4 linked regions of the Elephas maximus indicus genome follow. The protein of the gene in region 1 binds, or shares a complex with, the protein of each later gene. Links are inferred from orthologs where the notes say so. Each region holds a gene or a part of one and is shown on either strand. Other genes may lie near its edges.

Region 1 (7,235 bases):
TTTTTATGATTAAAAGTACTTTTAAATTATAAATCATAGGTAACATCTAAAGATGCAATGAACGTTATTCCTTAGCCCTTAGTTAACATCCAGAAACAAAACATAAAACGTGTGATTTGCAAGGTCACAAAGACTTACTAATGTCAAATAACCTACTGGGAAACATAATGGCTTTAGGTTGGATTTGCAGGGTGGGGGAGGTGTACTAGTAACAATGTATCTCTTTACCTGGGTGTGTTTTTACTCTTTATATTAATGTTTCTATATTTCGCAATTTAATTTTTTTAAAGGGTGACTCTAGAAACTGAACATAAGGAAAAAAACTAGAAGTCAAAGTGCTATTTTTAAAACAGCTGATAAACAAGATAAATACATCTGTCAAGAGCCAAAATATTTAAAGGGGTCATCCAACAATTTAAATAAAGACCCAAGATTATATTGCTCTTCTACCATCCCAAAACTCACAAGGATACTAAATTAGCTAAGCCCCACCCACGCTGTTTTAACACTAGCATTTTCCAAAGAGCTCTGGCACTGAAGAATTAAGACACTGAAAACAACCCTATATAAACCAAGCAGTTACCTACAACTGTAATGGTTTAAAAAAAAAAAAAAGGAAAATGCTAATATAAAACATCTGATAAAGTTCAACAAGAAATGAATACCAAATAAAAAAAACTTTGCTATGTGTGACTTAATTCAGATACAGAAAGATAGAGGATATGGCTAAAAAAATGGCTAAAGCCCCCCAAAAACCAAACCAAACCAGTTGCCGTGGAGTCAATTCCAATTCCGACTCATAGTGGCCCTACAGGACAGAGCAGTACTGTCCCATAGGGTTTCCAAGGAGCAGCTGGTGGATTCGAACTGCCAAACTTTTGGTTAGCAGCCAAGCACTTAACCGCTGCGCCACCGGGCCTTCGGGGGGAGTGGGGGGACCTAGCAAACTGCCCAAGTCTCAATCTCAAATGCTTATTTGAACAGTAATGCGTTACTGGGAATCTGACCATGGCACTTTAACAAACAACATGCCTAGATCTATCTAGATGGTTGAAATGGGAAACCACGGACAAATTATTTAAACTCTACCAAGGTCACAGTGACAAACTCAAATTTGAGCCTAGCACCCCAATCGTTCAAGCTGGTGTGTGTTCTGGAAAGCAAGTAAATTTTCTGACTGGAATGCACAGCTGACCACGAACACAAAGAGCAGAGGGACTTGCATCCAAATCTGGGGGAGTTTACCTCTCTAGTAGAAACTACAAGATTACATTTTAAATAATTCTTCAGAGCTTCCTAGCTCCTTATTTTAACACATTACTTTGTCACTTTTCAAAGTTGCTTATCTGCTATTATAACACTTCCTCTAATAAAATAACACACTCAGAAAAGGGCAAGCTAGTACATAACCAGAATCTTAAACCTTTAAAAATCACTATGGGGCAAGGAGGAGGGGACCACTGACTAATTATTAATCCCACCACCTATAATTATGGATAAGAGACTATTGAAGATTCACCTATTACTTACAGCACAATGTCCAAAAATAACAAATAAAAAACCTTTGACACATTTCAACCAATAAACAAACAAAAAAAAAACCTCGTAGGAAACCTTAGAACCACCGCTCAATCCCCCCTCCCTCCCTGCCCCAAACAGCCTCAATATGGAAAAGCAGCTAAAGGAAACCCCTAGAATTTGGTTGGGTTTTTTTTTTGTTGTTCGTGTACCAAATGCTTTCGACTGAATTGTCTAAAAGGGCAACCGCCTTGCACTTGTGCAGCTACACTCCAGTTGCTTTACAAACTCTTCAAGCAGGGATGAAACTTAAAAATACATACACCCTATGAAAAAAAGAGACTCTGGGCTATAGGATGGGGATGGAAGACCCAGAGGCGGCGGCGGAGGAATACATTGAGAAAGTAACACAAAGCGAAAATTCTGAAAGCAGGATGGTCAGTGCGAAAAAAGCGCACCAGGCTGGTTTGTCCCACAGGGGTAGGAACTGGACCACAAAGCTTACAACCTCTGGAAGGAAAGGGCGTGGTACCCCGCGAGAGGGAAAGGAGAGTAGGGTGGGAAGTCCGGGCCAGCGGCAGCATGCGGAATTGGGCGACGGCAAAGCGAACCCCTGGAAATTTCCAATCCAAACCCGGGCCACTCAACCGAAAGAACACTAGAAAGGCGCTGCCCAGCGGGGTGCTTGCCCAATGTCCCCACTTCTCAGGTTCCTTGCAGCAACCGGCGAGCTTCTGCTCGTCTTTGGGTGATGCAAAGCGGGGATATGATTACACCGGAATGGCACCCCCGCCCTAGATTGACAAAGAACCAAACCTGGCTAAGGCGGAAGGGTTGGAGGGGGCTGTGGAGAGAGAAGAGGAGAGGGCGGTGAACTGGTTTCGGACAGAGAACGGTAGTGAACGAAGAGTGAAAGGGCAGGGATTCCAATGCAGTCCATTCTTAGCGCGCACGTGTGCTAGAAGCGTTCCGAGTAGAACGCGAGAACACACACATTGAGAAGCCAGAAAGGACGCAAAAAGCAGAAAGAATGAAAGAGATAAATGCTTGAGAAAGGCAAGACAGAGGAAACACCGACCAGATGCCGGTAGAACACGAACAGCTCAGCAATGCCACTGATGTAATGGGGGCGGCTAGAGGGAAGGGAGGGGGCGGTGAGAGGCAGAGAACGGCGCGAGACCCCGAAGCGGCGTCTGCTAAGATAGAACTGGACACCGATACCTGTGCTGTCGGCCACGTTGCCCACGGAAGACGCCATCTGGAGCTTCTTGGGGGAGAGCGAGGAGGGGGTAATTGAGTCCCGCCGCCGCCGCTAGTGGCAACAATGTTTCTGGAGGTAGTGGTAAGAGAGCAGGAGCTGTACTGGTGTCCTGTGAGTCTTAAGCGGCGGCAGGCGTCATAGGCTTCGAACCTTAGGAACTCTGGTTGACCATCTACCTCTCACGATCTTGAAATGGCGGCGACGGCTCCTCGGCCGAAACAACACGGGCCGGAACTACTTTCTGTTACAATCAAGTACCAGAGCGGAGGTAGCGCGGTAACCGGCGCTACAGACGACAAAATGACTATAATCAAAGTCGCTTGCTCTTATGTAGCCTTCCGCGTAGGGCCCATTGCGACAAACACGATTGTGTCGAGAGCGCATGCGAGCAGCCCTGTCAACCTGACTCGCGTCTAGGGCACACTGTCTAGGGCATGAGCGCCCAAGTTTTGTTTTGTTTTTTTATTATAGTGAAGCATAAGGTTAAAAAAACCCATACATTTGCCGCATAAATTTTTTCCGAAGTGGTAAAGTATCGCCAATGATGTAGATTTTAAACATAAATGCCAAAGGAGTCTAAAAAATTTAATCAAGTTTATTCACACAAAAAATGGATAGTTACAAGGCTGATGATTACAAATCATGGATCAGTTCTAAGCAAGTAAATGTAAATAATCTTATTTAAAAGCTGAACTGTTCTTCAAAATGATGGCGGAGGGGGTTCCAATTTGAACACGTCTTAATTCAGACCCCAGACATTGATGAAAACGACTGATACTTTTCACAGGGCCAAATGAATGCAAACATCTCAGGTTTTGGTCATATAGCCCAAAATTTGAAAATCGTTTTGGTATTCAGGATAGTTCTGCCCACATTAATGGGGCAGATGTTAATGCTTAATAACTCAGGGACACCCTGAGGGTTTGCACTCCAAAGGCAGGCATTGAAATGTTAAATGACTCATATTCGTCAAAATCCATGACTCTTCTGAGTTGTGGCTTCATTTCCACCAAATAGCTCTGCAAATCATCACAATCTGAGATTCCACTGAGCTCAGAAGCAGTTCAACAGAGATAAATGAATTCATTTCCCATCTGCCTAAACCACACATCTAGTTTGAGTCTGAATTACCTCCACTTCCTTGAACAAATCAGCTCTTATTATCCCACTGCAGTTTCAAGTCCGTGTTCAGATATGTTGTCACATTAGTATTAATTTATACCTCATATCTTGTTTCAGAAAGGATTTAAGACAGCTTGCCACATTAGCAAGAAATTAGTATAAGCCACTAGAGGCCATGATTTGGATCTCTAAGTGTCCTTTTATTTCAAAAAGTCCTTGGTCTAAGAAAGCAGGTCAGTGAATTTCTTCAAAAAGTTTTTACTACTACATTAAAAAACAAAAAAGTCCTCAATGCTCTGCTTTAATTTCTTTCAGACAGTCCACAAACTTTTTAATTATGGATAGGAGCACAGAGAAAAGTCATAACATGATCATTTCTTCCATCACATAATCAGGAGTCACATCATGCAGTGAAAAAGACAAACTGCACAAACCAAACCCACTGCCATCGAGTCGATTCCGACTCACAGCGACCCTATAGGATAGAGTAGAACTGCTCTGTAGGGCTTCCAGGGAGCGCCTGGTGGACTTGAACTGCCGACCTTTTGGTCAGCAGCCTTAGCACTTAACCACTACACCACCAGGGTTTCCTGACTGCACAAACTGTCCTGAAAATCGGGCACCAATCTCTTAATTGGATTTAACTGGTAAAATCTTTTTTTTTTTCTTTCCCCTCTCACTAAAAGTACCCCATCTGTGATGAATAAACTCAGTTTTTCAACTTTTAGAACAGACTTCTCAAATTCTATTGGCAGATGTTTGGGTCTAACTGATTAACAGGTGATAGCTAATTAAGTAGAATGCTTTATGTTGTTAAATGCCAGGTAATGCTCCCTGCATTTGGCCCGTTGAAACTTGTGGTCTAAGGCTCCCCACCCTGAGAGAAGAGTCAAAGGATATTATGATACAATTTTGCTGCTAGGGAAAGCAGGATGGTGGGGCTCACAGGGGCACAACAAGAAAAAAAAACTCTGTTGGAATCTCAGCAATCTCATTCCAGGTACCTTCTAGGAATAGCATTTGGAGGGTTTAGCTTGAAGGACTTAGTCATCAGACAAACACACCTTCTTCAGCCAATCAAATAACAATTACTAGAGTCTCTGTATGCAAGGCAGTGTGGGGGATACAGAAATGAACAAGACAGGATCCTTGCCCTCAAGGAACTTGAAGCCTAGCCACTAGAGAACAATACAGGAGAATATTATTTAAGTGATAAAATATGTTCTTGTGTGTGTGGCTAATTGCCTCCATGAACAACTGCCTCCTTAGCCATGAGGCAAGAAGAACTGGATGGTGCCTGGCTATCATTACTAAACATTTTGATCAAAGATTCTATAGAAAAATCCTGATCAAAAGGGGGGAAACACAGAACAGATTTTCAAATTCTCATAGATGCCACACTTTCTGGAACCATGGAGGTTGGGTGAACCTCTGAAACTATTGCCCCAAGATAACCTTTAAACCTTAAGCCAAAAATATCCCCTGAAGCCTTCTTAAAATCAGACAACAGTTTAACTTAACTAGTAAAGAATGTCTTCCTTGAGTATTGTGCATTTTTAAGTTCTATCTATATGGGATCAAATTGGCAACTTGAAAGATTAGACAGGAAACTTATAAGGGGCAGTGAGTTTATGCTAATGGAGAGGAACAATTCAGAAAAGGAGGGTGAGAATGGTTGCACAACTCGAAGAATATGATCAATGTCCCTGAACTGTACATGTAGAAATTGTCAAATTCATGTATGTTCTGCTGTATATATTCCCAACAACAACAAAAATAAATTATTTTTAAAAAATATGTTCTATCTAAACACACAATATAGGCGAGGTCAGCACAACTGGATTAAACCAAAAGCAAAGAAGTTTCCTGAATACAGCTGAACACTTCAAAGGCCAGAGTAGCAGGGACAGGGTTTTGGGGACCATGGTTTAAGGGGACATCTAGGTCAATTGGTGTAACAGAAAGTATTAAGAAAACCTTCTGCATCCCACTTTGGTGAGTGGCGTCTGGGGTCTTAAACACTAGCAAGTGGCCATCTAGGATGCATCAATTGGTCTCAATCCACCTGGAGCAAAGGAGAATGAAGAACACCAAAGACAAAGGTAAAGATGAGCCCAAGAGATAGAAAGGGCCACATAAACCAGACTACATTCGTCTGAGACCGGAAGAACCAGATGGTGCCCAACTACCACTAATGACTGCCCTGACAAGGAACACAACAGAGAATCCCTGATGGAGCAAGGGAACAGTGGGATGCAGATTTCAAATTCTAGTAAAAAGACCAGGCTTAATGGTCTGACTGAGACTAGAGGGATCCTGGAGGTCATGGTCTCTGGACCCTTTGTTAGCCCAAGACTGGAACCATTCCTGAAGCCAACTCTTCAGACAGGGATTGGACTGGACTATGGGATAAAAAATGATACTGGTGAAGAGTGAGCTCCTTAGCTTATGTAGACACATGAGCCTATGTGGGCAACTCCTGTCTGGAGGCAAGACGAGAAGGCAGAGGGGGACAGGAGCTGACTGAATGGACACAGGGAATACAGGGTGGAGGGGAGGAGTGTGCTGTCACACTAGGGGGAGACCAAGGTGTATATAAGTTTTTGTATGAGAGACTGACTTGATTTGTAAACTTTCACTTAAAAAAATTTTTTTTCACTTAAAGCACCATATATATGTGTATATATATATATAAAATATATATATGTATATATATATATACATATATATATATAAACACCAAAACCAAAACCCACTGCCATCGAGTCAATTCTGATTCATATATATATATATATATATATATATATATATATATATATATATATATATATATATATATGTTTCTGTCTAAAAATACCTGGGGAGAAAACAATCACTTCAGGCTGGAAGGAAGGTGAGGGAGAAGGCCTGAGCTGGGCATTGAAGGAGGTACTTTTGCGTATTTCTTCTCTTTCCACTGATTTCTCGTTCTTTTTCTTTTCTTTTTTCCCTTTCATGTACAACAATTTTTATAAATCAGCTGTTTCTTCAGCTCCAATCCCAAATTTTGCCACCCTGATAACACCATTAATGGTGTATTAATTTTCTATTACCACATAACAAATTACCACAAACTTAGCAGCTTAAAACAGCACACATTTTGTGGCAGCCACGCCAGAGTTGTGAAAGGAAGCAGAGCCCAGTGTGCTGCCACTGCCGCTGCCAGTGGAAAATGGCTCCAAAGGTAAAACGAAGCGGGGAAAATACACCAATGTGGCATTGTAGCCTCTCCAGATGTTTAGGGATAATATTCCAGAGAAAAACCAATTCCTCTGAATTAGGTAACCAGTCATAA
Region 2 (7,128 bases), on another chromosome or scaffold:
ACTTGCTATGTACTCTCCATCAAGTCCCTGAACCTCTTTGCTCTCTAATTCTTCATCCGAACAATATGGAGTTGTTCTAGAATTATCTGTGAGGGTTGTGCCAGTTCTGAAGCACATCTATCATAGGGCACTTTCTGCCCTATCCTCTCTTGGGGTCTTGGTCATGTGCCCAATGGGAACAGTGAAGTTCAGGGCTGGGCTGAGACAATTCACTGGGATTAAGTCAGGAGAAAAGACCAGAATTAACTGGAAATAACCCCGAAGGACAAAGAAGTGGGAGAGGAGGAGTCAGGGAATGTGTTAGGAAAGACCTGTCCTTCAGGGAGTTATTGTACTGAGCAGTTGGCCTCTGACCCCTGGCCCAGAGGCGACTTGCAGAAGCGGTGCAATGGCCCAGGGGCAGGGGCCCCTGCCCCGCAGGTTACACTGGGGGACATTACTTATTCTTGAAGTCTTCCACGACGTCCTGCGTGTTCCTCAGCTCCAGCTCCAAGCGCCCCCCATCTACCTGCAGCACCTCAAGCTGCCGCCGAAGGGCAGCAATCTGGGCCTCAAAGATGCCCGGGAGGTGGCTGCTCTTGGCTGACTTCTGCTTCTGCAGCAGTGCCCACTTGGTCTCCAGCAGCTTGTTCTGCTGCTCCAGGAACCGCACCTACAAGGGACATAGAATGGGAACTCATGAGGGGCCCAATGGCACCCCCCACCGCGGAGCTGGGAAGGGCCTCCAGCCACCCAGCTGAGCCTATGTTCCCACTGGCTATTCGCCTGACACCAGTTCCCAGCCCTTGCCCCTCTCCTCCAGGAAGCCCACCCTAAATAAGTCTCTCTTCCACAACTCTTTCTCAAGTGTCCCAGAGCGTAACCCAGGGACTAGTCCTGCCTAGTTCACAATGTACTTCTGGTGCCTGGCTCTCAAAAAAATGTGCTTGGGAGTCTCCTCCCTCCTTCGCTCCCATCGTGTTACGGTACCCTTCTCTACCTCCCTCTCTGAGGGCTGCCCTCTTCATATCTGTGTCCTCAGCTGACAAGGCCTGTCTCTCCCCTCAGGCTGGGAACTCATCTCTTCCCTCGTCTGTATCCTTTCGTTCCTTCCCCTTTCCTCCGTGGAGGCCTCAGGACAGGGCTCTGTGTAAAATGTAAAACGAGCACCCACTATGTGGCCAGCCCTCTGCCAGCCCTGGGGCCCAGAAAGGCCCTTAGAACCACCCACTGTGGCTGGGAGTAGGAGGCAAGAGTAGCCATCTCAAAGCCCAGGACCTGGGGACTGAAGAAGTAAGATAGTGCGGCTCAGTGACAGGTGGAGTCTAGGCCTGGATGGCCTGGCTTCAGGGGACACTGGAGGATGTGTACAGTCTGAATGATAAAGGAGAGGAGGACTCTCAGGGTGGGATGATGGAAGGGAAAGAGTCAGGGAGGTGCACAAAATCAGAAGACGCAAAGCCTGGTCTAAGCTAGTGGGAGGGAGCTCTGGCCAGAGGGGCCCAACTGGGCCAGGCCTTAGTTCCTGAGTCCAGCTATGCCCACCTTGCCCCCACCCCTTCCAGGCCCACCAGTCATCTGCCCCATGGGTGGGGCCGATGTGAGGCAGGAGCAAATAGCCAGGAGAAACGCCTCCCCAGGGTCCCTCAGTGCCACCTCCCCGTTCCCAACTGAGCTATCTCCAAGAACAGGTGTGTAACCTCACTTCCTGCCACCAAACAGAGGCTCAAGGACCAGGTAGGTGGGGCAGGTGAGACCAGGAGCCTCCCTCCCTCCAGCCCTTTATTTCTATCATCTACCTCAGCATGGGCAGCATCTGAGGGAGGCGAGGATCTCAGCAGCTGAGAAGGGCATGTCACTTCCCACCCCTTCCCTGACTCCACCCAGCACCCTCAGGAGAAGGGATCTAGAAAGAGAGCTCCTGGTCCTGTCCTCTGGAGCTCCCAGCCTGAAACTGGTGATGCAGCTGCCCCCAGTAGCCCCAGCGGATCACAGACACAGCCAGCCTGGGCAGCTGGACAGATCTCACCCTCACGCTCTGGGAGAAAAACCAAACCCATTGCTGTCCAGCAACCCTGTAGGGCAGAGTAGAACTTCCCCATAGGGTTTCCAAGGCTGTGACCTTTAGGAAAGCAGACTGCCACATCTTTCTCAAACCGCCAACTTCTCAGTTAGCGCAGCCGAGCGCTTAACCACTGCGCCACCACAGTTTCTCTCTGCCAGGAAAGGGAGGGGCGGTTGGGGCAGCTTGCTGGAGGAGAGGGCTTGGATCCAGAGGTGGGCAAAATAGCGTCAGGGTTAGTGGGCCGGGAGCAGGACTTGAGAAGGCATCCCCCGATATTGGCAGAAAAGAGGAAACGGGCAAGTCTCCCAGCGCCTAGCCAGTGTGCCAGCAGGGTTTGGGTGGCTGGTGTGGCCTGGAGCATGGCTCGGGGCAGGGTCCGTGCAGGGCTCACCTTGTCGATAAAGGAAGCGAACTTGTCGTTCAGGGTCTTAATCTGCTCGCGCTCCTCCTGGCGCACCTGCTGGATGGAGGGGTCGATGTCCACAGTCAGCGGGGCCAGCAGGCTCTGATTGACGGTGACCTCGCGGATGCCGGCGCTCACTGGTCCTCCGTAGGCGGAGTGCAGAGTAACGCGCGGCCGCGAGGCGCTCAGACCGTACAGGCTGCTGTTGCCGAAGGCCCCGGGGCGCGCGGAGCTCAGGCGCACCTGGGCGCCACGGCCGGGCAAGGCGGCGGAGCGCGAGCTGAAGACCTGGGAGCCGAAGTGGACTGACATAGCGGCTACGCCGGCTGGACAGAGCAGCAGGCAAGGCGCAGCAGCAACTCTTTGACCTCCGGTGTACTCGGCCTCTTTTATCCGCTGGGCCGGGCGGATCAGCTTACACAGGTAGGGGCGGGGCTGGCCACGAGCCACCTTTCGCTGCCAGACAGATCCCTCCTGGGGCCGCATTTCCGTCCTCCGCGCCGCCCTCCTCGCCGGGGCCCAGACTTTCAGTCCAAGCAAGAGCGGTCCGAAGCGGGGAGGGAGGGTGCGGCTGACGTAGACCCCTAGGCCCCCAGATGCAGGCAGGCGCCGGAAGCTGAGAAGGGCTCAGTCAGGGAAAGCTTCCCAAAGGAGGCTTGAGCAAGGTATGAAGAACATCCAAATTCCTGAGGCCAGAACAGGGAGACCAGAGGGTAAGAGACAGGGGCGGGGGGGTGGGGGGGACAAAAAAGTTTCAGTCCTGGGAGTCAGCTCCCCCAGCAGCTGAAAGCCAAAATGGCATCCCTCATCCCCACCCCAACCTTCCAAAACCAGCTCCTCCTCCAGAGATCAGCTCAGGTCTTGAATAATCTGACCCCAGGATGTGCCAGACCTCGGTGAGAGGCTGCTTGAGCTTGGCCAAGCTGGTCTCCCTGACCACATCCCCCCACCTCATTCCACGCTGAGTGGGGCATGGCCTGACTTCTGGCCCACTCCAATAGGCAACTGAAGCCAGTGGGAATGGTTACCTTGGGCCTATGCTTCCCCAACCCACCCCGACTCACACCCCTGCCCACCTATTTTATTTGCCCCTGTAGAGAAAGGGGACACCTTTGTGTATTTGTGACACTTCTGTGTACACAGCTGTGAGTCATTGGACTTTGCATAGGCATATATGCGTGCATGTCTGTATACATACTTACAGAAGTGGGAGTCTGTGTACGTGTGCCTGGGAGGAGGGTCTGTGGATATATAATTGCACGTTTGTATGCATATCTGTGTGCTACCTGTTCTGTCAATTCTGACTCATAGTGACCCCATGTGTTACACTGTAGAATTGCTCCATAGGGTTTTCTTGGCTGTAATCTTTATGGAAGCAGATCACCAAGCCTTCTTCCGAAACACCACTGGGTGTGTTCGAACCACTAACCTTTAAGTTGGTAGCTGCTTGTGTGATCCTTTCTGTGTGCTTGTGCTTGTATTTGCGCTCAAACACTCCTCCCCATCCCCCCAGCTCTGCCATTTTCCTCTTTAAGGGCCGCCAGGTCTGCCACCAAGAGTCACTCATCTACCAGACCTCCCCCACTGAAGCCACCACCAAACAATCCCCAGCAGTTTCAAACCGAGTCCAAGAGGGGGGTAAACATTGTGCTGGAACAGAACACAATGGACAGTCTTTGCTAACTGAGTGCTGGCCTCACTCCCTAGTAGCCTGGAGCCACACAGGCCACACCCCCTCCACTGCGGGCGGGGTGGGGGAGGGGGTCAGGTTCCAAAATTCCCAGACCTTGCTCAGGGACAGCCAGAGGAGCCTTTGGAAAAGACTGCTGAAAGGCCTGTCACCTTTAGCCCACCGTTAGCCCCACCTGGATGAGCTGGACAGATTGTCACCTTAGACAAGCCCTTAGGGGAAGTCCTGGGTGGAGAAGGGTGGGGATGGAATGCCCTTCCTGGTCTGACATTTCAGTTAGACAAGAGATTACTCCCGGTGAGGCTAAACCTGTGGCAGTCGCTTCTCAGCACTCTTGGGGGAGGCCTTCCCCTCACCATTGTTTTGAGGGCAGCTCAGTCCAGAGGCAGAGGGATGCCCACGGAGACAGTGGAGTCTGCTGTGTGTGTGTATGCATGCGTGTGCATCTGTGTGTGTGAGAGAGAGAGAGAGGAAGGGAGAAAGAGAGATTTAATCTCAAATTCTCAGTTATAGATTTCCTGGTCCTGTGATATTTGCAGTCATGGAGATTCTGCTCCAGCCACCCACACCTCCGCCCCCAGCCTCCAAGTGGGCAAAGGAGACTAATTGTTTAATTCACACACACACACACACACACAAATGCACCCACTCTGTGCTTACCTCTCAGGACTCCTCCTCAATCTGCTTTTCCATTCTTCCCCACATCCTCTCCCACCTTCAGCCCTCCCCCAGAATCTGTACTCTGGAGGAAGCTGTGCCCTACCCATGCCAGGAATTCCTCCTCTAGAGCCTGGCCTGAGAATCTTTGGCAAGGCACTGCCAGTGACCTGCCTTGTCACCCTGGATGCATCATTCCCCCTCCCCAGGCCACTTGTGTGGCCCTTCCACTTACCTAACACCTGGAAGGGCACAGGGGTTGTAGAGGGAGTTGAGGGAGGGATTGCAGAGAAAGGGCCTATGAGCCATGGCTTCAGCCTCCCGTTGAGCAACATTTCCCATTGCAGCCCCTGCCCACTGTCAGCCCTCAGCCTCTCCATCACCCGCCCCCCTTCAAGCATTCCTGGCAGCTCCAGCCCCCTCACTGTCCACCTGTCTACATTCACAGGCCAACACTGGGACCCCACTTGGTGCCAGGCAGTGTGCATAAACACCCACTGGAGGGGTCCTCAAGAAACTGTCAGCACTGAGAGCCAAGGATCCCTGCCCCACAAGAGCGTGCAGTCTAGTGGTTCATCCAAACTCAGCTCCCCCTCCCCCCCAGCCCATGCCTCTGTCCATCTCCCAGAGACCACCTTATGGGATTCTGGGCAGAATCTTGAGATAAATTAATCCTACAAAGCCCTTCCCCCAGTAGTCCTTTGCCCACCCCCAAAGACTCATTCTCATCTTGTAGTATTCTGTGGCACCCCCCCCAAGCCCACACTCAACTTGTCCTCCCACTTCCTACCTCCTTTCCCACCGCGTCTTCTGGAGTCCAGATCTGAGCAGACAAGCAAGCCAGTCCCTCAGCCCTTCTAGGCTTCACTGAACTGTCCCAGACACCACAGCTGCTCCAGCCCTGGTGGAGGAGCTTACTTCTCCTCTTCCAGACAGGTGGGGGAGACATTCTTTTTTGCTCCCTTCTGCAGTTGTAGAAGGAGTCCTCGGGTGGTGCAATAGGTTAAGCACTCAACTACTAGCCAAAAGGTTAGCAGTTCAAACCCACCCAGAGGCACCTTGGAAGACAGGCCTGGTGATCTGCTTCTAAAAGGTCACAGCCTTGAAAACCCTATGGAGCAGTTCTACTTTGCACACACGGGGTCTCCATGAGTTGGAATTGACTTAATGGCAACTGGTTTGGTTTCTGGTTTTGCATTTGCAGAACCATTACTCATTGTCTATCCCATAAAAAACGTCCCCTGATTGGCCAGGGAAAAAAAGAATTTTTTTTTTAATTATCTTGGAATGCAAAGACTGGTAGTCATAATAAAAACTATTTAGTATTTCTGTATGAAATATAATACAAAAAAAGGTCAAATGGTAAAGGACAAGGAAGCTATACATAAGCCAGCCAACAGGCTAATTTCCTGATTGTACGAATTAGTAAGAAAAAGACAAACAACCCAGCAGAAAAGTGAGCAACAGGCATGAATACTATGAGCTATTGTTTGTTGTTGTTGTTAGTTGCCATGGACTCGGCTCACACTCATGGCAGCCTTATGTAAAACAGAAAGAAATGGTGCCCAGTCCTGCTCCATCTTCACTGTACTTACCACGATTTTGCCTGGCACTCTTCTAAGTACTTTGCATCCAATTAACCCATTTAGTTCTCACAATAACTTGCGATGCAGGTGTATGTTATTGTCCTTATTTTAAGAGGGGAAACTGAGACACAACAAATTTAAATAAATTGCCCAAGGTCACACAGCTAGTATGTAGAAAAGCCAGGATTTGAACCTTGGAAGATGGACCTACTAAATTACTTCCGTGAACAGGTAAGGTAGTTCATATAAAAAAAGAAAACCAAATAGTATACATGAAAAAAGAGCTCCACCTCATCAAATTAAAGAAATGTAGTAAGAATAGCAATGAAAAGCAATTTTCATCTATCAAACCCCCAAAGACTAAATTGTGTTATTAATAACAGCACTGGCGGGTGTGTGGGTAATAGAATGCTTTGTCCTTTCTTGGTGAGGTTACCAATTTGTGCGTTCTCTTTGGAGGGCCAGTTGGCAATAGCTATCAAAATTAAAGACATCTGCCCTTACCTCAATAAATAAATAACTTGTCCTTTGACCAAGTAATTCCATTGCCAAGGACTCATCCTACAGATGTTCTCACCAAATGTGTGCATATGAATGTGGTCTCTGTTGCCATGGTTTGATAGTAGCAAAAAACTCAAAACATGATAAATGCATAAAGGGAAGTGATTTAATGAACTGTACTATGTACATTCAAAGGAATACTGTTTATTAAAAAGAGTGAAACCCTTTATATACTGGTGGAGTTTTT
Region 3 (7,834 bases), on another chromosome or scaffold:
GTTGAATTCCCCCAGTGAAGCCACTGGTCCGGGACTTTTTTTTTGTTTGTTTGGTCGGGAGGTTTTTGATCACTGATTCAGTCTCTTCACTTATTATGGGTTTGTTGAGACTTTCTATTTCCTCTTGAGTCAGTTTGGACAGTTTGTGTCCTTCTGAGAATTTGTTCTATTCATCTAGGTTATCCAGTTTGATGCCGTACAGTTGTTCATAGTATTCTGTCATAATTTTCTTTATTTCTCTTGAGTCAGTTGTAATGGCTCGCTTTCATTTTTTATTTTGGTCATTTGCATCTTTTCTCTTTGTCAGTCTAGCTAAATGTTTGTCAATTTTATTGATCTTTTTAAAGAACCAACTTCTAGTTTTATTAGTTCTTTCTGTTTTCAATTTTATTTATTTCTGCTCTGACCTTTGTTGTTTCCTTTCTTCTGGTAGGTTTAGGCTTAGTTTGCTCTTCTCTTTCTATTTCCTGGAGTTGTTGAGTTAGGCTGTCGGTTTGAGAGCTTTCTTCTGTTTCATGTGGGCATTTATTTCTATAAGTTTCCCTCTGAGTACTGCCTTTGCTGTATCCCGTATGTTTTGGTATGCTGTGTTTTCATTTTCACTTGACTCTAGGAAATTTGTGATTTCTCTTTTGATTTCATCCTTTACCGACTGGTATTTTAATAGTGTGTTGTTTGATTTCTAGATGTTTGTGTATTTTCCAGGTTTTTTGTTTTGTTTTGTTTTTGATATCTAGCTTCACTTCATTGTGAACAGAGAAAATACTTTGTATGATTTCAATCTTTTAAAATTCGTCAAGATGAGCTTTGTTACCTAATATGTGGTCTCTCTTGGAGAGTAACCCCTGTGTACTGTAGGAGAATGTGTTTTCTGCTGTTGTTGACTGGAGTGTTCTATACATGTCTGTTAAGCCTACTTGGTTTACAATGTCTTTCAAGTCCTCTGCTTCCTTGCTGATCTTCTTTCTAGATGTTCTGTCCGATATTGAAAGTGGTGTATTGAAGTCTCCAACTATTATGGTAGTATTATTTCTCCCTTCAATCCTAACAGTGTTTGTATATTTAGTTGCCCCTATATATATATATATATATATTTATGATTGTTAGATCTTCTTGATTAACTGATCTTTTTATTACTGTTTTCATTGTGTTTCTTGGTAGTAATCCATTCACCCATCATTTCCTCCTCGAATAGTGCCTAGTATATAGTAGACGTTCGAATTCTCAGCCAATGAAAGATTAAACGAATTGGATATTTATTTACATTATCCTTTGACCTTTGTCTTTTCACAGGACTGTGCTTTTGTTTTGGTTTTCATTAAAAAAAAAAATAGACTATATTTTTTAGAGTAGTTTTAGGTTTACAGAGAAATTGTGCAGAAAGTATAGAGAGTTCCCATCTCCCTCATCTACCCTCATCACACAGTTTCTCCTGTTATTAACATTTTGCATTCCTGTGGTAAGTCTGTTACAATTGACGAACTAATATTGACACATTGTTACTAAACTCCATTGTTTACATTAGGGCTCACTCTTTGTGTCCTACAGTTCCATGGGATTTGACAGATGCGTGGTGTCATGTGTCCAGCATTACAGTGTCATGCAGAATAGTTTCACTGCCCTAAAAATACCCCCTGTTCTACCTGTTCATCTCCCCCTCCCCGAGCCCTTGGAAACCACTGATCCTTTCACTGTCTCCACAGTTTTGCATTTTCTAGGATGTGGTAGAGTTGGAATCATATAGTACCTTTTCCAGGCTGGCTTCTTTCACTTAGCAACACGCATTTACGGTTTTTCCATGTCTTTTCCTGGCTCGATAGCTCTTTTCTTTTTATTGCTGAATAATGCTCCATTGCATGAATGTACCAAAATTTGTTTATCCATTCATCTACTGAAGGAGATCTTGGTTGCTTCCAATTTTTGGAAGTTATGAATAAAGCTGCTACAAACATTTATGTGAAGGTTTCTAAGTAGACATATATTTTCAACTCATTTGGGTAAATACCTAGGAGTGTGATTGCTGGATCTCTTGGTAAAACTATGTTTAGCTCTGGAAGAAATTTCTAGACTGCCTACCAGAGTGGCTGCACTGTTTTGCAAAGGACTGGCGTAGGAAGTGCTCAAAGAGAGGATCATTGCTTGGCCTGATGAGTGAGTGACTAGATGGACGGAGAAGGTGCTAGAAATTCGAGGCTAAAAGTCTGGCCTCACTTCCCGTTTTGACTCTGGAGGAAACTGGTGTCATTGGCTAGTGTGGGCCCGTTTCAGAAACTTGGCTGGTCATCCCTTCCTCGAAAGCCTCTTTGAGAGGGGCTAGTCTCTACATTCATTTCCTCTCACATACCCTCTCTTCCTTCCCTCCTAGGATGCACCTCTCCCTCACTTTGGCCACAGCAGGCCTGGCCCCCGTGACTCTCCAGGGCTTGAACCCATCTGGGACTTTTCCCCTGTTGTGAACAAAACCATCTCAGGGGGCTGGATTCCCAGGAGTACCTAGTGGGTGCTACCTGGGGGACCAGAGCAAGACACAGCCAAATTGTCTTCCTTGAGGCCAGGCAGTTGGCTGGATCGTCATCTGAACTTGAATTTCACTTTCTTTTTCTGTTGTGCTCAGGACTGCATCCTAAGTCAGCCTGAAGATTTGTGGAAAAGAAAATCCAGAACTCAAAATGGGTACATCCACGTTGTCATCACGACCGGTTAGCCTCTTTCTGAGTAAAGATCAACAATAATTTTCAGCTTTGTTTAAAGCCTCTTTAATGGATTCTCTGAAATGCTCTAATTACAAATGATTACCCATCGAAGAGCTCACAAGCCCTTTGGAACTCCTCCACATGCTCACGAGGAGCTCAAGCTGTCTGAGGTGCTCAGGCAAGAGGGGGGCAGCCCTCTTCTTCTTTAAATCATGTCGTTTGGAGAGTTTACTAAGGCAAGCAGGCTTTCTCTCTTTTTGGTCTGAGGCAATGGGCTCTTTCTTCACTTTCCATCTGTTTCCGTCTTGTTATCCAGCAAGAAATTAGATGCCTTTTAAATTATATGGAAGTCTCTTTCTTATCAAATACCACCACAATGCTTTCCGGTTTACACAGGATTCTGCAATGTATTGTCTCTTTGAACTTCATGAAAACCTCTGAGGGAGACTGGAACATCCACTTTTTAGACTAGGGTTTCTCAGCTTCCATACTATTGCTGTTTGGGGCCATACACTGTACTGGGGGCTGCACATTGTAGGATGTTTGGCAGCATCCCTGGCCTCTACCCACTAGATGCCAATAGCAGCTTCTCAATTGTGACAACCAAGAATGTCTCCACACATCACGCAATGTCCCCTGGGGAGCAAAATCACCCTTGGTTGGGAACCATTGACTTAAATCCATTTTCAGATGAGGAGGCTGGGGCTCAAGTGAGGGGAAGGGCCCATAGATGATGAGTTGTAGAGCTAGGGCCTGCCAGCCTCTTACCTTCCCTTCACTAGATGGCCTATAAAACCAAAAGAAGCCAAACCAGTTTCTGCCAAGTCGATTCTGACTCATGGTGACCCCAGGAGTTCCTGAGTAGTGCAGTTGGTTAAGTGTTTGACTACTAACCAAAAAGTTGGCAGTTCGAACCCACCTAAGGGAGCCTTAAAAGACAGGCCTGGTGATATGCTTTGGAAGGGTCACAGCCTTGAAAACACTATGAAGCAGTTCTACTCTGCACATGTGGGGTTCCCATGAAGATGGTCCATACTAAAACCCACTGCCATCGAGTTGATTCCGACTCATAGCAACCCTGTAGGACAGAGCAGAACTGCCCCACAGGGTTTCCAAGGCTGTAATCTTTATGGAAGCAGACTGCCACATCTCTCCCATGGAGTCATTGGTGGGTTCCAATCACCGAGCTTTCAGTTAGCAGCCAAGTGCTTAATCACTGTGCTCCCAGGGCTCCTTAGGATGGTCCATAGGAGCCTCCAAGACTAGCAGAGCCCTCCATCTTGTCCTGCCATCCTGTCATCATCATCCCAAATGAGAATGCCTTTCCTGGTGAAATTCTCTCCTGGGGTTGAAGCATTTCATGCCTTTGCTCTTCCGTCTCCCTTCTGGAAGATCTGTGAGCTGGGAGGACAGGCTTGGACGTCTCGCTGTGATCTCCATGGTGCCTGCACAGGCCTGCAAGCAGGGAGGACAGGCTCGGACGTCTGGCTGTGATCTCCATGGTGCCCGCACAGGCCTGCGAGTAGTGGGCCCAGTGAGTCTGCAGATCTGGGCATGGCACCACTGATGACCCCGTGAGTTAGAGCCTGCTCCCTGGTCCAGGATGGCTCCCTCGCTGGGTGTGAGAAGAGAAACTCAACCTTGGGTGTGAGAAGTGAAACAAGTGAGAAACTCCTCAAATATCTGGATGTTCCCCAAGCAGTGGGGGTCACTCTTGATGACCTAACCTACCTATCCATCCCAGTAGCCTTGCAGGGTGGTGTGGCTGGAAAAGGTGGGGCCAGAGGATCCCAGATGCAGAACGCCTGCTCCCGCCCTCCTCCTCAGAAACTCAAGAGGAGAGATTGAAGGGAGTTGAGTGCTGAAAGAGAAAAGAAAACAGAAGTTTCCATTTGTACCGGATGGTTTTGTTTTTTTATCTGTTTGCAAATGTTCACTCTAACGGTTTGAAACCTAGCGGGTGTAGCTGCTGCCGCCCACACATGAAGCTGCAGTGGTACGGAGCTCTAGCTGGCAAACCGTATTACCAGCAACGGCCATTACCCGTCCCCACCCAGAACAGGCTCAATACCTACCCCCGCTGTCCCTAGGCCACCCCCTACCGCCCCAGCACCCCAGACGCCCACCACCCTCCACACACAATTTCTTTCGTTCTTTTTCTTCTTTTTTTTTTTTTAAATTTCCAGCACTCGGCTTTCTCTAGAGAAGGCATAAAGAGAAGCAAAGGCAGAAATGGGACGAGCAGAGAGACTGCTCCTGCCTCGTCGGAGCCACCAGCTTTCGGGAGCGAGCGGCAGCCCCCACCTGCCTGTGGACTGACCCCTGAAAGGTGAGAGAGGACTTTGATTTCTTTGTGCAGCTGGAGGTCTGGGAAGCAAGGCCGGATGAAGGGGTCTTATCACGGAGCCCCGGCTGCTGCCTTTCGAGTGATTCTATCCGGCAAGCATGATGGATGCCTCCTCCAAACACACGCAGTGTCTCCCACACAAGCCCCCTCTCGAGAAGGCCCCCTCTCACCAGGGCCTCCTGCTCCCCTCCTCCATCTTCCAGCCCAGCCCCCCAAAGCTAAGATATGGATGAAGGGATTATTCTACTTTAAGCCTAACCTGTTGATTTTCGACTGAGGCTGCCAGGCTGCTGACCTTTCCTTCTAGTGAGCAGGACCCAGGCTTTCTGGACAATATGGAATGGCTCTCCACCCAAGGGGCTTTGGGAAGCCTGTTTCCCTAGTGGCCTCAAGCCCGGTAATCAGAAGCAGTCAGACCCAGCTGCCCAGCTACTCTGTATGAAATAGTCTTCTTTCCTGGTAGAAATCAACAAAGTTTACAATAGAAGGGACGGTGATCAGAGACTCAGCTACAGAGTGCTGTGCGAGGTGCAGCAGGCCAGGACATCCACAGGGGAAATGCTGAGCACAAATTAGGGCTCCCCACCATGTGAACCAGGAAACAAAAAAAGAAAAAGGGTTTCCTTGCTTATGAAGCATGTTCGTGGGTCGAAGGGTAGCCGAGCGGGGCCATCTCCTCTGGAAGGCTTAGCCCTCTGAACAAGGACAGAGAGAAAGGAAGAACAACAAAGCTGGGAAGGTAGACAGAAAGGCCATAATGTAAAGCATGTAACAGAGCAGACAAAAGCTCCCAGCTCTGTGCGTGAGGGATGAATCAGTTGGCAGAAGTCTATTTTTAGAGTTCCCAGGATCTGATGCTACATCTTGCCTGGCATTAATTAATGTCACAGGCATGTTTTCAGCCCCATGTTCTGAAGGGCCTTAGCACGTCACTCAAAGGAGGTGGCCCTCATGGACGGGCCCTCTCTGGGCCTCATGGGGTCTGGGCTCCTACACAAACACGTGTCCTGGACGTTCCGCTTCTTGGCCTTGTCCCCACCAGGTGTATCCGTTAATCTCCTGGCTCCAGCCCTTGGATATCTGGCCACAAGCCAAGGGAGAATTACAATTGTTATGGTTTGTTTTTCAAAAAGGAAAGCCTGAACAAGCTGAAATTGGAAAAAAGATGTTGCCTCATGGCTTGGGATTAAAAAAAAAAAAAGGCTTTGGGGGCAACTCTACGACCGCGAGGAAGAAGGATGAGGCCCCCCTAATCTCCAAACAAGGCCGATTCGACAAAGTAGATTTCATAACTGAGGAACGTATTCCAATGAAGTTTAGAGAAAGTGTATAATATTTTAGCAAGAAGGCATTATATGACTGGGGTGATCAGATGCTGGCTGAAATAGCGTGTGAGGCTAATTACCCCCGCAAAGCTTGGCCCCATTTCAGAGCTGAGGCTGTAAATCTGAAGAACAATTTAAATGCAGGAGTGATTGTAAGCAGCACGCCTTGTTTTCTGAGGTGATAACAGGATAACAGTGCAAAAGGCAAGAACGAGAAATGGAAGGCCAAGTGGGAGTCCAACTGTTGGGACAACCATGTTTGTACATTCGCAACAATTATTAGGTCAGTGAGAAAGTGCGGATATATCATGGCCACTGATTAGGAGACACATCCCTTAAACTCTCTTAAATTATTCGAAATATTCTACCATTATCATGGAGTCCGAGCCTCTGGTGGTACAAACAGTTAAGCACTCGACTACTAACCTAAAGGCTGCCCCAGAGATGCCTTGGAAGAAAAGACTGGCAGTTGGCTTCTGAAGGCCTTGACAACCCTATGGAGCACAGCTCTGCTCTGAAACACACGGTGCTGGAAACGACTCGATGGCAACCGGCTGCCATAGAGTCAGACTCAGCCGTTGACTAGTGAGTTGTCCAGCGACATTTATCAAGGTAGTCATCCTTTCACTCATAAGTCATTTGTCATTGGTCCATCCAAGACGGGCATGACCGATGTCCCAAGAGTAGGCTGGAAGGATCCCAGGATGACCTGTGGCACATGGCCATTCCATCTGATAAATGGAAAAATGCAGAGTAGCTGATCTCCGCTGACCCTTGCCAAACCGGTTTCCAGGTTTTCAAGAAAGATTGCCCCTGAGTTTCTGAAAGTCTTGAGGAGAAAGATCACAACCACCCAGAGGGTATGAGCAAGCAGGGTGCCCACGACTTTGGGTCTCATGCCTGCTGCGAGGTTCAATTCCATCCTTTCACCCAGAGAGCTGATTCAGGGCTCTTAAGTCACTCATCTCACCTCCATGTGTCTGGGGTGAGTCCTGCCCTCCCGGCTACACTCGCACACCGTGGACACTCTTTGTCACACCCTTTCCCAGGGCATTCTGAGCCTGGGAAAGGCAGGCACAGTTGGGTTGTTCTAAGCTGGAACCCTGAGTTCAGCCTTGGCAAGAGGCCATGGGAGGAGCCAGGAGACGGTCTCTCCATTCGTCAGGAGGTCCTCTGGCCCGTTCCAGGCTGGCCATGTCTGTGACCACAGATGTATGGGGTGTGTGTTCTTCTTGGCATGTCACACAAGGCATGTGGCTTCCAGATCCCTGTCCTCTGCCATCTGACCAGAGGATGCCACTAGGAAATCAACGGAAACGTCCTCTGGTGCCCCAAACTGAAGTCCTTTTGCTGTTTGGTTGTTTCTTTATGCATCTGACATGGTTTGACATGCAAGATCAGATGGGAAAAAACCCAGTTGCCATCCAGCCAATTCTGACTCCTGGCAACCCCATGTGTGTCAGAGTGGA
Region 4 (7,317 bases), on another chromosome or scaffold:
GGGGGGGGGGGCAAACTACTTAACAGCTCCAGAGGCTCAGTTTTCTTATCCGAGGACTATGAGAATTAAATGAGTTAACAACTGTAAAGCACAGAAAATACAAGAAATCAAACAGTTAAATTCTTCAACCAGTATTCTGTTCTAAGTATTATATGGGGTGAGCTTTATACTCCATTGTACAGCTCCACGAGACTAACATCCCATGTTATCTCACATTATACATAAATATAAGCTTCATGTGGGTAGAGATTTTTTATCTGTTTTGTTCACTGCTCTAGCCCCAGCACCTGTAACAATGTTTGGGAAATCATTTGCCAATGGAAACCCCGGTGGCGTAGTAGTTAAGTGCTATGGCTGCTAACCATAAAGGTCAGCAGTTCAAATCCACCAGGCGGTCCTTGGAAACTCTATGGGGCAGTTTTACTCCATCCTATAACCCTGGTGGCCTAGTGGTAAAGTGATACTGCTGCTAACCAAGAGGTCGGCAGTTCAAATCCGCCAGGTGCTCCTTGGAAACTCCATTGGGCAGTTCTACTCTGTCCTATAGGGTCGCTATGAGTGGGTTTGGTTTTGTGTTTTTTTGTAGGGTCATTATGAGTCAGAATCGACTAGACGGCAACAGGGGGAAGGGGCAAGAAATATTTGACCAAGGAGGGAACATTCATTTACTAGGTAAACTGGGCTAAGAAACTGAGACTAGAGTTTTAAAAAAATATCAGGTAATCAAACATGAGTTTTCAAAAATAATTCACTTACCATCTACTATGTGTCACTTATGTTTAACACTGGACTTATAAAACTTAACCTCCATTGAGTTGAAACACTTTAACTACATGGTGATAACGCTTGTTCTACTTAACGTACAGGATTATACTGAAGGTAAAATAAGAGCTTGTTTAGTGGTGCTTATGCCCTTGACAAAAACCAAACCTAGTGCTGTGGAGTCGATTCCGACTCATAGCAACCCTATAGGACAGAGTAGAACTGCCTGGAGGATTTGAACTGCTGACCTCTTGGTTAGCAGCTGTAGTACTTAGCCACTATGCCACCAGGGTTTCCTATAGCGACCCTATAGGACAGAGTAGAACTCCCCTGTACAGTTTCCAAGGAGCGCCTGGCGGATTCGAACTGCCGACCCTTTGGTTAGCAGCCGTAGCACTTAACCAGTACGCCACCAGGGTTTCCTACAGGGTCGCTATGAATCGGGATTGACTCCACGGCACTGGCTTCTGGGTTATGCCCTTGCCAAAAAAGGGTCCTCCTCTTTGCCTGACCACAGGGGGCATGAGGGATAAACAGGAACATGGCCTATCCAGTTAGATCACCCGAGTATGTGAAAAAGCTTTGTAAACTCTAAAGCGCTGTCAGCACGAGTGTCTACTATGAACCACGAACTACACATTACCTTGTTTAACCTTCAGAACAGCTCTGTGAGGCAGGTACACACATCTTCACTTTAAAAAAAAAAACACATCTTCACTTTACATACCAAAAAACTGAGGCTTGGAGTGGTTAAGTAAGTTGTCCAAAGCCACCTAGAGGGGTCAGGTTCTAAGGCCACTATACTACTTTTTTTTTCCTGTAGATATAACAAAGGGGCGTGGGAATTAGCAATTGAATTAGAAGTCTATTAACGCCAGAAGAGCAAAAAATGACTTTACTCAGCAGGGTGACACCTGGGCAAGAACACCCTATTAAGACAGTAAGACCTCGGTTAGGCCTTTGCATCCTGAACATTTTTGCCCGACTCCTTCCACAGACTGTAAATGAAACGACTTCAGAAAACCAAGTGGACTCGTGTTTAAATGCCGCACATACTGGCAGTCGAACAGCTGACAAGCCATCGGACTTCCGTGTCACTCCCCATTGGCCCGGGAAGGGGAGGTGCCCGAGGCGTTGACGGTCACTGGCTAGACTGCCCGTTTTTCTCATCTGCAGCCCGGTGCGAAGAAAAGAACAGAACGTGCCCGGGTCCCGGAGACTGTAAGAGCCCCCTCGGCGACGTCTGGGGTGGTCCCAGTCCTGACCTCCTAGTGACAGGTGGGGGCGTGGGTCTCTGACCGGGTAGTCACTTGGCCCGGGGGAGACTCGTCGTAAAAAATAAACACACCCCAAAATTCAGCAGCGCGTGCACTTAAACGGACGCAATGCCTGCACGAAGGCGCCTAGAGACGGGCTGCACGCCGGGGTCTGGCAACGCGGGCACTGCCCCCTGGCTCCCCACGGGCTAGCGGCGCCGGTGCGATCCCTGGCAGTCGGCCCGCGGGCCGGGCAGGGGGCCGGAGGGGTCACGCCGACCCATCTCTGAACCGGCGACCCCAGCACGACCTCGGCCTGGCTGTCACACGCCGAGAAGAGCAGCGAGAGCCGGCTGGCGTTCGCTCGGCGCCGCTAAGACGGCTCTGCAGGCGCGGCGTCCAGGCTACGGCGCGGAGAGCGCGTCCCCGCCTCCCCGGCTGCGCTCCGCGGGTCCGAGCGCTGCCCGGCACCGACCCCGGGCAACAAGGGCCCCGGGCGACAAGGCCCCCGGCGACAAGGCCCCCGGGCGACAAGGGCCCCGGGCGACAACGCCCCCCCGGCGATAAGGCCCCCGGCGACAAGGCCCCCGGGCGGGGCGCACTAGGCCGGCCCGGCCCCAGCCCCGGCCGGCTCACCTCCAGCGTGTAGCTCTCGCTCATGCGCCGGTAGCTCTCCCAGGCCTCGGCCCGCGCCGTCTCGTCCATGTTGAGGCGGCCGCACAGCTCCTCGAACCGCAGCTGGGTCTGAGCGACCGGCGACAGAGCCGCCTGCGCGGAGTCCTCCGCCTCGCCTTCGCCCTCCTCCTCCTCCTCCGAGGCCGCCGCGGGCGGCGGGGGCGGCGGGGGCGGCGGCGACTGGTCGCTTCCCGACGGCATAGCGCACTCTGGGCGGCAGGTCCTCAGACGAGCCGAGGGCCAGGGCCCGGAGCCATTCAAACCGCGAAGGCCCGCCTGTCGGCCGTCCTCGCCGGACTGCGCCGCCTCCAACGGCGCCGCACCTCAAATAGGCACCCGTAGTTCTGGGCGTGGCCTGCCGGGAAATGTAGTCCGGGCCGGGTGCCCGCGGGGGCCAAACGCAGGACCGACAACCACGTCCGGGGCAGTGGGTGGGCGTCTCCCTGCGACCGAGCTGGAAGGGCACCTCTGCAGTATACGTACCTCTCGGTCGTGAGGGGGGCCATCGTGGCTGTACTGCCTAAAAACCTAGCCTAGTGCCGTGCTGTACTGACATCCAAGAAACATGGATGGATACACGAAGGCTTATTGTCCGAGCTGTTCCCAGAAATCATACTTGCTCGTTATCTGAGTTACTTTAGCTAAAAAAAAGAAAAATAGCAAGGGGCTAATTTGCCTAAATTCAAGTCACAGCGCCATTCCTAATTTCGAGTTTTTCCTATGTTTTAAGTTTATGTGACCTTTTAAAGTAATTATTGTTTTTTTTTTTAAATCTTTCTTTAATGCAATAATTCAATTTTTCCAGTGGGCAAATTTGCATTCTCTATAAGTGACATTGGAAACCCTGGTGGTAGAGTGGCCAAGAGCTACGGCTGCAAATCAAAAGCAGCAGTTCGAATCCACCAGGCGCTCCTTGGGAAGTACCAGGCAGTTCTGCTCTGTCCTATAGAGTCGCTATGAGTCGGAATCGACTCGACGGCAATGAGTTTGGTTTTTGGTTTTATGAGAGACATAAAGCCCTGGTGGCGTAGTAGTTAAAAGCTATGGCTGTTAACCAAAAGGTTGGAGCCTGGAATCCACGCTATGGGGCACTTCTACTCTGTCCTATAGGGTCGCTATGAGTCGGATTGATGGCAACAGGTTTGATTTTTGGTTTTCATAAGGGACATATTTGCACTATCATCAACTACCTACCCAGTTGGCTTAACTTTATTCCCTTTTTTATGTTTTTACTTGTTCTTTTCATATGTGTAGTAGACTTGAGTCACTTTAATTCCAGTTCTGTTTGTTTTTAGGGAGCCCTCGTTGCACAGTAATTAAGAGCTGGGCTGCTAACCAAAAGGTCACAGCTCAAATCCACCAGCTGCACCTTGGAAGACCTGTGGAGCAGTTCTGGTCTGTTCTACAGGGTCCCTATAAGTTGAACTCACCCACGACAGGTTTGGTTTGGTTTTTGATTCCTGCCTGAGGAATTGTAAGACATTGCTGTTATTTTTATTTTGCTCAGTGGGTTATCTAAACTGAGGAAAAGAACCCAAGTGCTAGGCCAAAAGAAGGAATTTTTGGAAGCTATAATGTATAGGAAGGAGAGACCTGGGGTAAGAAAAGGAACTAAAGCAAGTAACAGGATGTTTTAGGAACAATTTTTATTCTATTGTTGTTGAAAGTATACACAGCAAAACACAGACCAACAGCTTCTGCAGGTACAATTCAGAGGCATTGATTGCATTCTTTCAGTTGTGCAAACATTCTTGTCCTCCTTTCCCAAATTGTTGCTCCACCATTAACATAAACTCACTGCCCTCTAAATTTCGTATCTAATCATTTGAGTTGCTGTTGTCACTTTAACCCCATGTACACAGTTCTTAAAAGAGCACAATACTCAAGGCGGGCATTCCTTACTTCACAGTTCTTAAAAGAGCACAATGCTCAAGGCGGGCATTCTTTACTCATTAAGCTAAACGATTGTTTGGTTGAAAGAAGACTGTAGGGGATATTTTTGGTTTAAGGTTCAAAGATTATCTCAGGGCATTTAGTTTTGGGTTAGGAACAATTTGAGACAATGAAACCCTCTCCCTGAAACCTTCATTAAAATTAATGTTAATTAGTATGCTTTTAGATTTGGATTTGCTAAGTGCTGAGTCTCAAGGTGACTATGGGGCAAGAACAGAGGCCCAATATGAATGGTTTATAAATTTTTTTTTTTTTTATAAAAAATTCTAGTACTTTCCTTACATTTAGGCTGAGGACACTAAACTTAAAAATAATGATCTTGTTTATTTTGGGTACCATTATCAATACTGTACTAGAGGAAAAACTTGAATTGTTTACTGAGGTAAAATTACCTTTGCCATATTTAGTAGAGTTATTTTTATTACCATCAAATATGTATTTTATTAAAATAATATTTGCTTGTCAATATCAATATTTTCAAGTCCTTCTGTGGTGGATTGTCCCTAAAATGGCTACAATGGTATTTCTAGTCTCACATGCTCTTCTAGAACTTGCCATTGAAACCTGAGGGTGAGGGGAGGGGGCTCTTGAGATAACGTGATTTCTGAGGCTTGCTCATAAAATACAATACAGCTTTCATCTCCTGCCACACCTCCCCCCGCCCAGCCCCCAGATGTTCACGCTTTCAACCCAGCCACGACACTGAGGAAGCCTGGATCACATGGAGGAGCCCATGGCCCTCAGCCCTAGCCATGTTCAGTGAGCCAGCTTGGAAGCAGATCTTTCAGCCTTCGGTTCGTTGTCCCAGCTGGTTGACCCAGCTGACACCACAAGAAGCAGGGAGTTGATTCGGAGTCATAGCGACCCTATAGGGCAGAGTAGAACTGCTCCATTGGTTTCCAAGCCTGTGATCTTTATGGATGCAGACTGCCACATCTTTCTCCTGCAGAGCAGCTGATGGGTTCAAACCTCTGAACTTTTGATTAGCAGCCTAGCCTTAACCACTGAACCACCAGGACTCCTTAAACTTGCTATAAAAAAACAAAACTTGCTACACAACCCAGCAATACGACCTCTAGGTATTTACTCAAGAGTAATGAAAACTTAGGAGCTGGTCCATGAGAGAAAGATGTGGCAGTCTGTTTCTGTAAAGATTTACAAGCATGGAAACCCTATGGAGCAGTTCTACTCTGTTCTGTGGGGTCGCTATGAGTCGGAATTGACTCGATGGCAATGGATATAGTAAAATTATATTAAATGTCATGAGAAATGGCCAGACTTTATAATGGCTATACCATTTTTCATTCCCTCTCACAATGAAATTAAATTTTTTTTTTTCCTTTGATCATAAGGCTCAAAGTGTTAAAAAAAAAAAAAATTCCTTCTGGATTGAGTTATTAGAACCATGACTTCAACTGTGTTTGTGATTTGTTTCCCATAGGTATTAAAAAAAAAATGTGTTGCTATCAGTAAGAGCTGTTTGTTGGTTGGTTCAATTTCCAATTGAGGGTGCTAATTTATATTTCACCTGATATGTGGAGTCTCTTGTTGATACCTGAGTTTATTCACACCTTAATTCTGGTTTATTCAGTCAGGTATTCGTGTCCTTACGGACTGATACTGTTGAGAGAGGGTCATGCTAGAACCCTTTTGTTAACCATCTGATGTTCTCTTCTCCCAAGAATTGTGTGCCTCGCTAAGAGCCACAAAAACTGTTTAGAATCAGGCTTGACCGGTCCCAGCACCCTCTTGGTGACCTATAGAACATTAAGTGCCTCATGCTTATTAACTCCTCTGCCCCTAGGTGGAGTATAGCTGCCATTTTTTGAATATGTGACCTATGTAACAGTATGTAGGCCCCACTACACCTGTGTAATATGACCAAGAATGTTGTTAATGTGAGTTACACAATCTCTTTGGATGTCAGCCTTATAAAAATAACTGTCCACTACCCCTCGCCAAGCAGGAGGCACTACCCCCAACTGTTCCTTTCCTTGTGAAACGAAATAAAGGTGCCTTTCTGATCTCTCACCTCGGCCTCTTGGTTATTGGCTATGACAATTTGTGCCAAGCAAAACCTGGGGTTTCCCACCTGACAATGCTCTGGGCTCAGTAAGTCTGCCCCTTAGACCAGCTTTGGGTATTGTGAATGAGAATTTGTGGGCTAAAAATTCAATCTACAGTGTAAACTATGAACAATTAACTAGATTTAATACACAGGGAAACCTTGGCACTCCAGGTTAAACACATCCTGTCCTTTTGGCCCATTCTGCTTTTATGAACAGCTATTGCCCACAAGGCTCATTGACGTGGGCTTTGCTCTACCTCCTCTCAACTGAAGGAGCTCTAGTGACACAAAGATAAAGCTCTCACCTGCTAACTGAAAGGTCTGCAGTTTGAACCCATGAGCAGTTCTGCAGGAGGAAAGACCTAGAGATCTACTCCACGATCTGCTCTTCTAAAGATTTCGGCCTAGGAAACCTTGAGAGACAGTTCTGCTCTGTCATATATGGTGTTATGGATTGAATTGTGTCCTTCAAAAATGTGTGTCAGTTTGGCTAGGCCATGAGTCCCAGTATTGTGTCATTTTGTCATCTGATGTGCTTTTCCTATGTGTTGTAAATCCTACCTCTATGATGTTAGTGGAGTGGGATTAGTGGCAGTTATGTTC

The links.
Region 2: the proteins of OGT (region 1) and KRT7 are in contact, whole or in part, in a crystal structure (PDB 4XIF), measured with the Homo sapiens proteins. The link is inferred for Elephas maximus indicus from reciprocal best matches to the Homo sapiens genes OGT and KRT7. Residues at the interface, in NP_858058.1 of Homo sapiens: His506, His508, His509, Asn567, His568, Pro569, Tyr642, Thr643, Lys644, Gln849, Phe878, Val905, Ala906, Pro907; in NP_005547.3 of Homo sapiens: Val9, Phe10, Thr11, Ser12, Arg13, Ser14, Ala15.
Region 3: the proteins of OGT (region 1) and ZNF831 are in contact, whole or in part, in a crystal structure (PDB 8FUF), measured with the Homo sapiens proteins. The link is inferred for Elephas maximus indicus from reciprocal best matches to the Homo sapiens genes OGT and ZNF831. Residues at the interface, in NP_858058.1 of Homo sapiens: Phe723, Ile734, Met779, Ile787, Ile790, Asn791, Arg792, Gly793, Leu808, Ala809, Thr831, Arg832, Ser833, Gln834, Tyr835, Gly836, Leu837, Pro838, Glu839, Arg877; in NP_001371283.1 of Homo sapiens: Phe937, Ser938, Pro939, Lys940, Tyr941, Leu942, Leu943, Arg944, Leu945, Pro946.
Region 4: the proteins of OGT (region 1) and RBL2 are in contact, whole or in part, in a crystal structure (PDB 4XI9), measured with the Homo sapiens proteins. The link is inferred for Elephas maximus indicus from reciprocal best matches to the Homo sapiens genes OGT and RBL2. Residues at the interface, in NP_858058.1 of Homo sapiens: His506, His508, His509, Asn567, His568, Pro569, Tyr642, Thr643, Lys644, Gln849, Phe878, Val905, Ala906; in NP_001310537.1 of Homo sapiens: Thr417, Pro418, Val419, Ser420, Thr421, Ala422.

The regions. Positions count from the first base shown.
Region 1 is NC_064846.1:98,167,476-98,174,710, forward strand, and holds the start of OGT (UDP-N-acetylglucosamine--peptide N-acetylglucosaminyltransferase 110 kDa subunit), read right to left. Parts: upstream 3,009-7,235; 5' UTR 2,777-3,008; coding exon 2,740-2,776; intron 1-2,739. UniProt on the Homo sapiens protein: Catalyzes the transfer of a single N-acetylglucosamine from UDP-GlcNAc to a serine or threonine residue in cytoplasmic and nuclear proteins resulting in their modification with a beta-linked N-acetylglucosamine (O-GlcNAc).
Region 2 is NC_064822.1:107,628,386-107,635,513, reverse strand, and holds the start of KRT7 (keratin, type II cytoskeletal 7), read right to left. Parts: upstream 3,018-7,128; 5' UTR 2,934-3,017; coding exon 2,436-2,933; intron 653-2,435; coding exon 441-652; intron 1-440.
Region 3 is NC_064843.1:9,963,113-9,970,946, reverse strand, and holds the start of ZNF831 (zinc finger protein 831), read left to right. Parts: upstream 1-4,818; 5' UTR 4,819-5,022; intron 5,023-7,834.
Region 4 is NC_064839.1:19,998,021-20,005,337, reverse strand, and holds the start of RBL2 (retinoblastoma-like protein 2), read right to left. Parts: upstream 3,018-7,317; 5' UTR 2,895-3,017; coding exon 2,655-2,894; intron 1-2,654. UniProt on the Homo sapiens protein: Key regulator of entry into cell division. Directly involved in heterochromatin formation by maintaining overall chromatin structure and, in particular, that of constitutive heterochromatin by stabilizing histone methylation.